Linked DNA regions of Canis lupus familiaris. The protein of the gene in region 1 purifies or fractionates together with the protein of each later gene. This does not show direct contact. Links are inferred from orthologs where the notes say so. Each region holds a gene or a part of one and is shown in the gene's direction. Other genes may lie near its edges.

What was found.
Region 2: the proteins of DCAF6 (region 1) and TNNC2 purify together in Homo sapiens (affinity purification with mass spectrometry; 3 studies listed by BioGRID and IntAct, with this or other methods). This does not show direct contact. The link is inferred for Canis lupus familiaris from reciprocal best matches to the Homo sapiens genes DCAF6 and TNNC2.

The regions. Positions count from the first base shown.
Region 1 is NC_049228.1:30,468,484-30,474,037, reverse strand, and holds the start of DCAF6 (DDB1- and CUL4-associated factor 6), read left to right. Parts: upstream 1-2,124; 5' UTR 2,125-2,417; coding exon 2,418-2,514; intron 2,515-5,554. Other genes in the region: MPC2 (mitochondrial pyruvate carrier 2), read right to left, coding at 1,237-1,345. UniProt on the Homo sapiens protein: Ligand-dependent coactivator of nuclear receptors. Enhance transcriptional activity of the nuclear receptors NR3C1 and AR. May function as a substrate receptor for CUL4-DDB1 E3 ubiquitin-protein ligase complex.
Region 2 is NC_049245.1:33,758,942-33,764,130, reverse strand, and holds TNNC2 (troponin C, skeletal muscle), read left to right. Parts: upstream 1-1,571; 5' UTR 1,572-1,692; coding exon 1,693-1,695; intron 1,696-3,116; coding exon 3,117-3,168; intron 3,169-3,291; coding exon 3,292-3,435; intron 3,436-3,523; coding exon 3,524-3,638; intron 3,639-3,774; coding exon 3,775-3,911; intron 3,912-4,042; coding exon 4,043-4,074; 3' UTR 4,075-4,231; downstream 4,232-5,189. UniProt on the Homo sapiens protein: Troponin is the central regulatory protein of striated muscle contraction. Tn consists of three components: Tn-I which is the inhibitor of actomyosin ATPase, Tn-T which contains the binding site for tropomyosin and Tn-C.

The DNA.
Region 1 (5,554 bases):
ACTGAGGGTTAAAAAAACCTAAAAGGCAAATAAACTAAATAAATTTCCTAAAGACTAATTTTATAATGGGTATGATACTGCAGTAAACAATATAATACTTAAGTATAATATTTATTTTGTATTTTAGTAAAGTATTATACTATTCATCATTTCATTATCAAACTGGAAATCAGAGTCAGGAACCATCTCAGACTCCAGAGAGCTCCTTCCTAGTCAAACGTGTGGAGAAAAGACAACTTTCCTAACGATGCCAACTGCAGAGGAAGGAAAAAAGAGTCACTTTTGGGGTGCACTTCAACCTTTCAATTTGTAACATATTTTCTCATTCACTAAATTTTAAGCTTGAAATAGACCTCAGTACCTCGGGTTTTAGTTACCAGCCAAGTAATATTACCGCCCGTTTTATAGAAGAGGTAACAAAACTCTAGGTCTTGAAGAGTTGGAAGGATTGGGATCTTCCAGTTTCTTATACTATTTTTTTTTTTCAGCCACAAGAACAGTGTTTTCCAGCAGGACAAGTGAGAGCTAACACTTGTTAGGCATTTATGAAGACTCAAACGCATGTTATCTTTAATTCTCACACTGAGCAGATTTTACAGGGACTAAACTATCTAGGATTTCGCCCAAGGTCACAGCTACATAGTAAGAGGCACAACAGAATTAAATCCGGGTCTGCCCACATGAAAAAGTCTAGGGAGAATCAGTCAGAAAGGACAGCCTTCAACAAACTGGATCTATGGGACTAGGTATGACACTGACTCGGAAACCCGGGTAACGCATCTGCAGGCCTCGGCCAGCTGGAGCTGAGGGAAGTGTGACCTTTACTCCAAACCGGTGCGACAAGATCCGCGTGGATCAATATACACCAGTACTCGTGGAGGATAAGGGGAGAGAATGAGAATCTCGTGGGGGCCCAGGCCGATCTGTGGCCGCGGGAAGCGAGAAGGCTCAAACCCAGAGGCCCGGGCCGGGGTGTGGGTCGTGCCTAAGGGATGGGGTGCAGCAAAGGTCGCGAAGGGCACAGAATCGATAATCTCAGGTTTAACGAGAGATGTTGGAGGAGATAAAGTGAAAAGCAGGGAGGACGGGAAAGTGAGACCGGGCTCGCTTGAAGGGAAGTAGTTGGGGCTGCGGGCGATACCTCCAGCGGCGGAGTTGTCCGTGGCCGCTAAAGGTCTATTTCCGACGAGGGGGGGGGAGTGAAGGTCTCGCTGAGAGCTATTCCGGGTCTGTTACCTGCCGGGTGGTTGTACAGCGGCCTCAATTTCTCCGGCAGCAGGAGCTCCACTTTATCCAGGACCCGGTGGTAGGTGGCCCGAAGGCCCCGGGCGCCAGCGGCTGACATCTCTGCGGACGAGTGGTCGTGGGCGGTCGAGAGGGAGAGCGGCCGCGTGCTGCTCCCTGGATGACAACGAAGGGCACTCGTCACTTTCTCCTGCCACAGCGCCTAGCGTCCTCCTCTCTCCGAGGTTGCCCTTCCCGCGGCTCAGGCTGCCCCCTGCGAACCACAGGGGTGGCGAGAACCCAGGAAAGCACTGAGGGGGCGGAGATACAGCGACGGCCCGCCCCGGGCCCGCCTCCTTCACTCCCGCTGCCCAGGAGGAGGAGGAGTCATGGCAACAGGTGCCTGGAGGACTGCCTCCCCACGCCAACCCGGCGCCCCGGCGGCAGCGCGCCTGCGCAAGCACGGCCGCCCCACGGTGATTGGCCCGCCTCGTGGTGCGGGCGGGGTCCAGCGCGAACCTCCAATTTCTCCTTCCTGCCCTCGAGGCCATGTTGGAGAAGGGAAAGTGAAGCTGCACGGGCTCTAATCCCCCTCCGCTTTAAGACAGCCCGCAGTTAAAATGGGCTTTCCGGGCCTTCAGTGCCCCAACTAAAGATGACGCCGCACAACGCTCTTGCTTCCCTTGGAATGAGCCTTGTGACTGAGAGACCTCACATCTCAGCTCCTCCTCTCTCTATGCCTCACTTATCCGTAGAGAATCAAGGAGTTAGCTACAGAACCCACTTTCCTAGGGTTCTGCTCGTCAGCCGTGGCGCAGACGAGCGTCAGCCCCGGGGGTGGTCGTCATCTCGCGAGAAGCGCTTGGAAGGGAGGGTGTCGAGAACGAGGAGAGGGAGGAGTCGCGGCCGCCTCCGCCTCCTCCTCCTCCTGTCGGAGGGGGGCCGAGGGAGGGGACTGTTGCTGATCTCTGGATGTTCTGGGTAGTCTGAGAAGGAGAGTATGAGGCGAGCTCCGGCCCGGGCGCGGCCGGGCTTCGGGGGCGAGGGCGCCGCCGCCATCTAACTCGCAGCGCCCGCGAGGCCCGGCGCGCGGATGGTGCCGGTGCGGCTCGGGTGTTGATCCGCGGTGTCCCCTCCCCCTTCTCCCCTCCCCCACGCGGTGGTCTCCCCTTCTACCCCGGCCCGGCAGAGCCATGTCTCGGGGTGGCTCCTGCCCACACCTGTTGTGGGACGTGAGGAAAAGGTCCCTCGGGCTGGAGGACCCGTCCCGGCTGCGGAGCCGCTACCTGGGTGAGCGGGGGCGCGGGGGCCCGGGGGCGGAGGCGCTGAGGTCGCCGCCCAGAGGGGGGGAGGGGGCCGCGCCGCGGGGGCTGTTGGTGGGGAAGCGCCTCGGCGGGGCCGCCCCGGAGACCCCGGGGTGCTGGGTGGACGTTGGCTGGCGCCCCCGGTGCGGGTGTCCTCCCACGGCCAAGCCCCCTTGCGTGCTGCCGGCCGCCGCCCTTGCTGGGTTTCCCTCAGGGGGCCGGGTGGGCGGCAGACGCTACTGGCCGGGAAAGGTGTTGGGGGCGCGTGTGGAGTGCGGTTCGGGAGAAGACTTGCCCAGCCTCCCGGAGCTGCTTCGTTTGGAGCCAAAGTTGGCGCTTGTGCTCCCCTCCAGCGCTCTCCCCGCTCCGCCGAAGGACTAAGTTTTTGTTGACAGCACTCGCCTCCTCTCAGTCTTCGGAGGGCTGGGGTGTCGGCCGCGGCGCGGCGGCCACCTTGAGGGACTTCGTGCACCACACGGACTCGGCGTAAACTGTGGTGCGGCGCCCAGCCAAAGCCCAAAAGTGATAGCCGAGCTCTCCCCACCCCCGCGCGCTTCCCCGGTTCCCCTGTGCTCTTCAGTTCGTTTTGACCGCTTTCAGGAGGTGTAGGGTTTCATGTTCCTCTTCCCACCCCTGTAAAACACACTTGGCATTTACGGTTTCTTAGTTAAGCTTTCTAAAAACAACCTTCAATACTTGAGGGAACAGTATTCCACTTTTTTTTTTTTTTTTCCCCCCCGTTTTGGGTAAATTGGTTATATGAGGATTCTGGGTCAAGCTGAGCTAGCTCAAACAGTCCAGGATCTTGAAAGTGGACGTTTTGAGTTAAGGGTCTTTTTTGGTTTCTTCCTCTGCCGTCTCTCCAGCGCCACTTTGTTCTTTTTTATTTGTCGGTAAGACATTTAAAACGTTTTTCTTTCCAGTTTTGTCACTTTCTGCTAAGGAAGTACTGTTGATGACATTTGGTTTTTGCCTTCAAGTCGGTAGAAGAAAATGAAATCTCCTTACACCTAACGGTTCTGGTTTGTAAATGATTTGAGAGAACTGAGCAAGCATTTTTTTTTTCTTATTCTTGTTTTTTAGTGTCTCAAGTGACATATGAATACATTCTCGTTGTACAGACATAATAAAAATGAAGCAGAAATCCCTGTGATTCCCTCCCATTCCAGTTTTACACACACACTTTTAGAGGTAACTGTTCTCTGTTTCCTGAATATTTTTCCAGACCTTTATCTTTCCATTTTTACAAGCACATATGTACATACAGAAATGCCAAAGTTCTGTGTGCTTTTGTGTGTCTGTGAAACTTGTATATATGGTGTCCTTTTGTAAACTTTGTTTTACAACTTACTTCTACATTAGGTCTTAGAGATCTTTCCAGGCAGTAAAAATAGACCTATTCAGTCTTTTAAACTACCACATAATGTTTAACTGTATGACAGTACAGTAGTAGACTCAAACCTTTCCTCTGGAAATAGATCTTGGTTGTTACTGAGGCATTGCACTGAACATCCTTATACATGCTTGTGCATTTGTTCTAGGATAAGTAACCTAGAGTGGTCTTAAAATTAAACATTAGTGGAGAGTGATTTTTTAAATCATTAACCTAAAAAAGATGTGCAGTATTTCTCTTAATTTTTTTTAAAGTTTATTTATTTATTCACGATAGAGAGAGAGAGAGAGAGGCAGAGACATAGGCAGAGGGTGAAGCAGGCTCCATACAGGGAGCCTGACATGGGACTCCATCCCTGGTCTCCAGGATCATGCTTTGGGCCGAAGGCAGGTGCTCAAACTGCCTTGAGCCACCCAGGCTGCCCCTCTCTTAATTTTTTTTGAAAAAGAACTTAATTTTAGTTTAATAAGACGAACCTTTTTTTTTTTTTTTTAAGATTTTATTTATTTATTCATGAGAGACAGAGAGAGAGGCAGAGACACAGGCAGAGGGTGAAGCAGGCTCTATGCAGGGAGCCAGATACGGGACTCATCCTGGGACTTGATCCTGGGACTCTGGGATCATACCCGGAGCCAAAGGCAGACACCCAAACGCTGAGCCACCCTCAGCTCACGCCTGAGCAGGCGTCCCAAACGAATTTTAATACTGTGTGTTCTGCATGAGTAAATTTGTTTGGTCCTGTATTAGTTGGACTGTTTAAGTACTGATTTAGATAAGTTTATATATTAATGTTTTTTTCTGGTTCATTTAGTTCAGCTGTATCTATGAAATATGAGTTAAAATATGAAACTCTACATTTCCTTTTTTTCCCTTCCTCCTTTAAGTGTGATGTTTGCATTAGGTAGAGGGAAATTGAAGAGCAAGAGTTCCCTGACATCAATAGAAAGTCTGAATTACAGATTTTCAAATATCAGCATGCATGTGTGTGTGTGTGTATGAGGTTTCTTATCTTAATGTTTTAAGTGTGTGTTAATATATTCTTTATAGTGTATTCTCAAAACAGCATCCTTTAAAAGTGGTTTTCTAAGTACTTGAAAATAGCTTGTGAAGTAATTTCCTGACCTTAGTAGATCTTCTTTACACCATTATTTTATCTAACTCTCCCACACCCCTGTGCTAATCTTGGTTTAGCATTCAGGAAATAGTAAAATCCGCATTAGTAGTACCTGAATCAATGAGTTTTTAAAAAATAGTATTTTAGAAAGTAGATTCCTTTTTTATTTTGAGCCTTCAAACATTTTGGTTGTTTACAGTATTGTAGGTTATTTTTTCAATTTATTCCCATTATTTGCATTTTTAATAATGAATTACTGCTAAATAATTCACAGATAAAATTGACAGATGTTTCTTGTAACGTTTACATTTCAAATTATTTCATTATAGCATGTGTCTTTCTAATACCAGTATTCAAGCTTTGCAGGTGATTTCAAATTTGATAAATTACTACTTTTCCTCCTATCAAAGAAAACTAGAGTTCATAAAACATCTTGTTATGTTGTGGGAATGAAGATAAATAATTTTTCATAAGTTATTTAGAAGAAAACGATATATATGTTCACTTACAATCTCCAAA
Region 2 (5,189 bases), on another chromosome or scaffold:
CTTCAAAGAAATCATTGTGGTTCCAGGGCTCACATCCAAATTGGACTCCCCTAGTGTCGCTGCCCCTTGGCCCTCTGCCTGGCAGGGGGAGGCCTTATGTAGCCCGGCTTGGCTCCACTGAGCTTTTCTTGGGAATGTCTATAAATAGAGGAAGATGGCAGCCCAGCTGCCACTGTCTATCTGCCTTTCCTTGGAATCCAGCCTCCTTTCGCTGGCCCTGGGCTCTGCGCTCAGTTGCCTTAGTGCTCTTTCTGTTGACTTAGCTGCTGTCCACAGCCTCGGCTACCTCTCCAACACCCAGCCCAGACCCTGGGTGTTGGGCTCAGTATGGACTAGACTTGCTCTGCCCATCCCTTCACTCTCCAGATGGCCGGCCAAGCTGCTCCAGACTTCTTCACCGAGCTCTAGGAAAGGGCCTGCTGCCCCTTTACCCACCTAGAGAACCTGCCCCCAGTCCCCCTCTCCCTCAAAAAAAGTGAATCACAAACACCGTTTCCCTGGAGCAGGTAAACTCGAAAGATCTGCTTTCAATGTTTATTTATTAATTAAAAGATTGTATTTATTTATTCAGAGAGATACAGAGAGAGAGAGAGAGGCAGAGACATAGGCAGAGAGAGAAGTAGGCTCCCTGTGGGGAGCCCAATGTGGGACTCCATCCCTAGACTGGGATCATGCCCTGAGCCAAAGGCAGACACTCAGCTGCTGAGCCACCCAGGCATCCCTCAATGTTTATTTCTCTTCCAAATGCATACCCATCTCCTGGATCTGTAGATTTCTCCTTTGGACAGGTCCCCTCCTGGCTGTCCCAACTTCCCTTCAGGAATAATAAGAATCATTGACATGACTATAGACCTTTGTGATTTAACAAAGCTCCCCAGTAAAAAGGGAATAATAATAGCTTCTCCCCTATAGATGACGACTAGGTGAGATCACATGGTTAAAATGCTTAGCATGGAGTGTGAACCTAGAGGTTCAGTGACTGGCTGTCATTCTCTCCTCCTCCCCTCCCCTGCCCTCTAGCATGGTTCAGACAGGACATTCCACTTGCCAAGCACCAACCCTATAGAGCAGGCACAAGCTCGGCGACTTACACCTGGGCCCCATTTCTCATTGGTCTCTCTGTGAGGGCGGGTCATGACTGTCCCCATCTCCACCTCACAGAGAAGGAAACTGAAGCTCAGAAACTGAAGCTCAGAGTGGCATGTCACCTGCCTAAGAGTACACAGCTTGCAAAGAAAGTATTGGGTTTAAGACTTCAAGGCTCGTGCTCTTTCCTGTCTGCCATGCTGCTTCAACTTTTCTGGATTCTGATTATCCTCACCCATCTTGGAGCAAGCGTGTTTCTTGAGCAGGGGCTCCCTAAAGCAGTGGAGCAGGGCGGGTTCTTCTCCCAAGAATCTAGGACGTCAAGGCCTGCCACCTGCTCACAGGCTTAAATTTCTCTGCAAGGGCCCTTGGCTAAATTAGGTAATGGGCCAGGACTCTGGAATGGGGGTGGGGGAGGAAAGGAGGAGGTGCTCACTGACCCCAGGATCTGATTGGCCAGGGCAATTAGTCCTGGGGAGCAGAGAGGTGGGAGGAGAGGGTGCCCCTACAAATCCAAGGTGCTGGAGCAGGCCAGGGTATCTTTGGGTGGTGGAGTGCTGAGGAGGTGACTGACCTGAAGCAGGGGAGGCCCAGTGACTTGCAACCATGGTAAGGACAAGAAGGAACTTCATCCCTTTGCTTGCTGGAGCACTTCTGGACCTCTTCCAGGCCAGATCTGGGTGCTCTGTAGTTCAGTAATTGGACGTTTAAAGATGGAACATGTAGGCTCCTGGAGCCTAGATGTCTAGGAGGAAGCCTGGGAAGAAGGCCTTGGACTTCTCTAGGAAGGGGAGGGCTGGGTGCTCTGGGATTGCCAACTCCCTGCAGACCTAAGGCTTTGGCAGTGTTGGCCACGGAATTGTGAGGGGGGTGTTAGCTTGTCTCCCTCACGGTGGAGGTGGGGACCCTGAGGGCCAGAGTGAGTCACCTAGCAAGCCAGTGGCTGGGGTGAGCTAGCTGGAGGTCTTGCCAAATCATCCTACTGCCGGTGAGAGGAGTCCTCTAGAAGAAGGGAGGCCTACAGAGCTTCAAGCCAGCTAAGGTGCAGGATCCCAAGAGCTATGAGGGAGAGAAGGGGCAGAAGATGATAGACCAAGGTTAGAGACCCCAGCCTCCCAGAGAGGGAGGTCATTTCCCCTGAGGTCCCTCTCCCCACTTCAAGGGGTAACTAGACCCCACAGGACAGCTGCTGTTGCCCATGCCAGGCTAAAAATAGCCTGCCCTCCTGCATGGTCAAGGAGGAGGGAGGAGGGGAGGGTAAGGAGGAGGGCAGTGGCTAGCTGGCCGCCGAAGAAGGCCTTGGCCACCTCAGCCCCTCCTCCCCGCCAGCCTCAGTCCAAAGTCCCATAGCCAGATGGCTTGGCTTGGATGTGGCCAGATCGCCTCCCCCGAAATCTTATTTCCACCTCCACAAGGCCCCCATTATATTCTGTCCAGCATGATTATGATTTACTCCAATGGCTAAGTGATAAGAAGGGAGCTTAAAATCTCCATCTCCACAAGTTGTCGGAGGGAAGGGATGGGTGTCTGGGTCTTCTTGGCCTCAGTGTCCAGTGTCTGGCCTGACGCTTAGTTGGGGCTCAATGACTCTGCCTTGCATTATTGAGAACATTTACTGAGCCCCTATTATAGTACCAGGCTCTACTGGGAGCTGGGGGACACTGAAAAATGATGCTGGAATAGTGCTGGTACTTTACAAAACTCTTTGACGTCTCTGATCTTTTCATTCTTGAAAAGCAGCTGAGAAGAGCTAGAGTAGAATAAGTGACTTGCCCAAGGTTAGAAAGGGGGATTCCTGACTTGACATCTGATTAGCAGGTTTGGAGACCCTGGGCATAATCTGTTTCCTCCTTGTTCTTCAAAACTGGGGTTCAGGTGCTGCGGGAGCATGCAGAAGGTGTTGTTAGTTTGGAACTGTTCTTCTGGAAGACCAAAGGGCACTGACAGAAAGGGGTTGAAGAGAAGGGGGTTAAGGCAAGAATGAGCTCTGGGGCCACCCCTTCTGCTGGCTGACTCTGTGTCTCCTGCAGACGGACCAGCAGGCGGAGGCCCGGTCCTACCTCAGCGAGGAGATGATCGCTGGTGAGTGCGGGCCGGCGGGCGGGTGGCTGCGTGCTGGGCAGTGCTGGGGGCTGGGCAGGGTGGGAGGGAGGGTGTGAGGCTGACAGTCCAGCCAGGCCCACCTCGGTCCTCTGCCTCGCTCAGAGTTCAAGGCTGCCTTCGACATGTTCGACGCTGATGGTGGCGGGGACATTAGCGTCAAGGAGTTGGGCACGGTGATGAGGATGCTGGGCCAGACCCCCACCAAAGAGGAGCTGGACGCCATCATCGAGGAGGTGGACGAGGATGGTGAGCAGGTGGCCCTCCAGGGGCTGCGACTGCGGCGGGCGGGGTGGGCCCGCAGGGCTCAGGCTCACTCGCCACCTGCTCGCCTCAGGCAGCGGCACCATCGACTTCGAGGAGTTCTTGGTCATGATGGTGCGCCAGATGAAAGAGGATGCGAAGGGCAAGAGCGAGGAGGAGCTGGCCGAGTGTTTCCGCATCTTCGACAGGTGCACTGAGGGCTGGGGAGCCGAGAAGGCGCTGGGCTGGGCGAGTGCGCGGACCAGGCGGCGCGGGTGGGCGGTGTGGGGGTGTGGGGGGCGGCTCGCCCCCGCCTGTCCTGACACCCTGTCCCTTCGCCCCAAGGAACGCAGACGGCTACATCGATGCGGAGGAGCTGGCTGAAATCTTCAGGGCCTCCGGGGAGCACGTGACAGACGAGGAGATTGAGTCCCTGATGAAAGACGGCGACAAGAACAACGACGGCCGCATCGACTTCGACGGTGAGGGCGGGCGCGGGGCGCGGGGCGCGGGGCGCGGGGCGGGGCTCCCACGCGGCCGTCCGTGGCTTTGTCCGCAGGGCGGGAGCCCCGGCGGTGCGTGCGACTGACGCTTCCGCGCTCCATCCCCGCAGAGTTCCTGAAGATGATGGAAGGCGTGCAGTAAGAAGTCGCCCCCGCATCCGCCCCGACGCGCGTCCCTCGGGCGAGGGCGGGCCCGGCACCCCCGCCCCGCCCCGTCACGGCCTCAGCCCCAGGAGGGAGGCGCGGCCCCTGCGGGCTCTGTGTGCAGGGGAATAAAAGCAGACACTGCGAAGCGCGTAGCCTGAGTGAGGGTGTCAGGGCCCGCCTGGCTGGGCCGCCGTCCGGGGCACCACCCGAGCGCCTCGGGGCTCCAAGGAGCGGGCACCCGAGTTGCGGGACGCACCGAGGCGCGGGACCCCGGGCAGGTTCCCGGGCGCTGGCGCTGGGCGTGCACAGCTCGGCCGGCGGGGTTGCCGCGGCGCCTGGCGCTGGAGGAGGGAGGCCGGCGGTGGGGGTGCGGGTTGGCGCTTGGAGCTGTCGGGGTGAGGGTGCCGGGGATGGCGGGTAGGGTGAGGGCGCGGCAGGAGGCTGGAACCCGCGGGAGGCCGAGGTGAGGCCCCTTTCCTTCCCCGCCGTCGTTCCTTTCTGGAGCCTTTGGGTCTGGGGTGCAAGCTACCGGGCTGGCGATGGAGAAGCGGGTATCGTATCCATCCGTTCCAGGCAGCATTCACTCTTGGTTGACTTTTTCTACTTCGTCTGTTCTGAGCGTTTATAGGTGCTCCATACTGGAGATGGGAGAGGAGGGTAGGGGCACACAGCCGGGAAGGAGGTTCTGACGTCATCATCTCCACCCTGCATCCCTGCCTCCAGCTCCCGCCAATGCCAGTGTGCTCAACATGGGGCCATTAGCAAGATCTAGCTAAAAGAAATCTGACCTGGCTGCTCCCTTGTTGAAATACCCTCAGGGCTCCCCTTCGCTTCTAGAATCAAGTCCAAATTCCTTTCCCCTCCTACCCCTCTCAGGTTCCAGCCACACCGGGTAATCTATCCTTACTGCTCTGGACAGTGGAGGTGCACTTTGAAGCTTTTGGGCTTTTGCTCATGCTGGAATGCCCTTCCTCCTCTAATAAGCCTGGCAAATTTTTCAGCCCAGCTCAGATACCATCTTCTCCCTTGATCCCTCTGCCACTGGCTGTGCTCTGGCTTCTATAGCTCTTTGCACACAACTCAGTTCTAGCAGGCCTCAGGGCCAAGCTG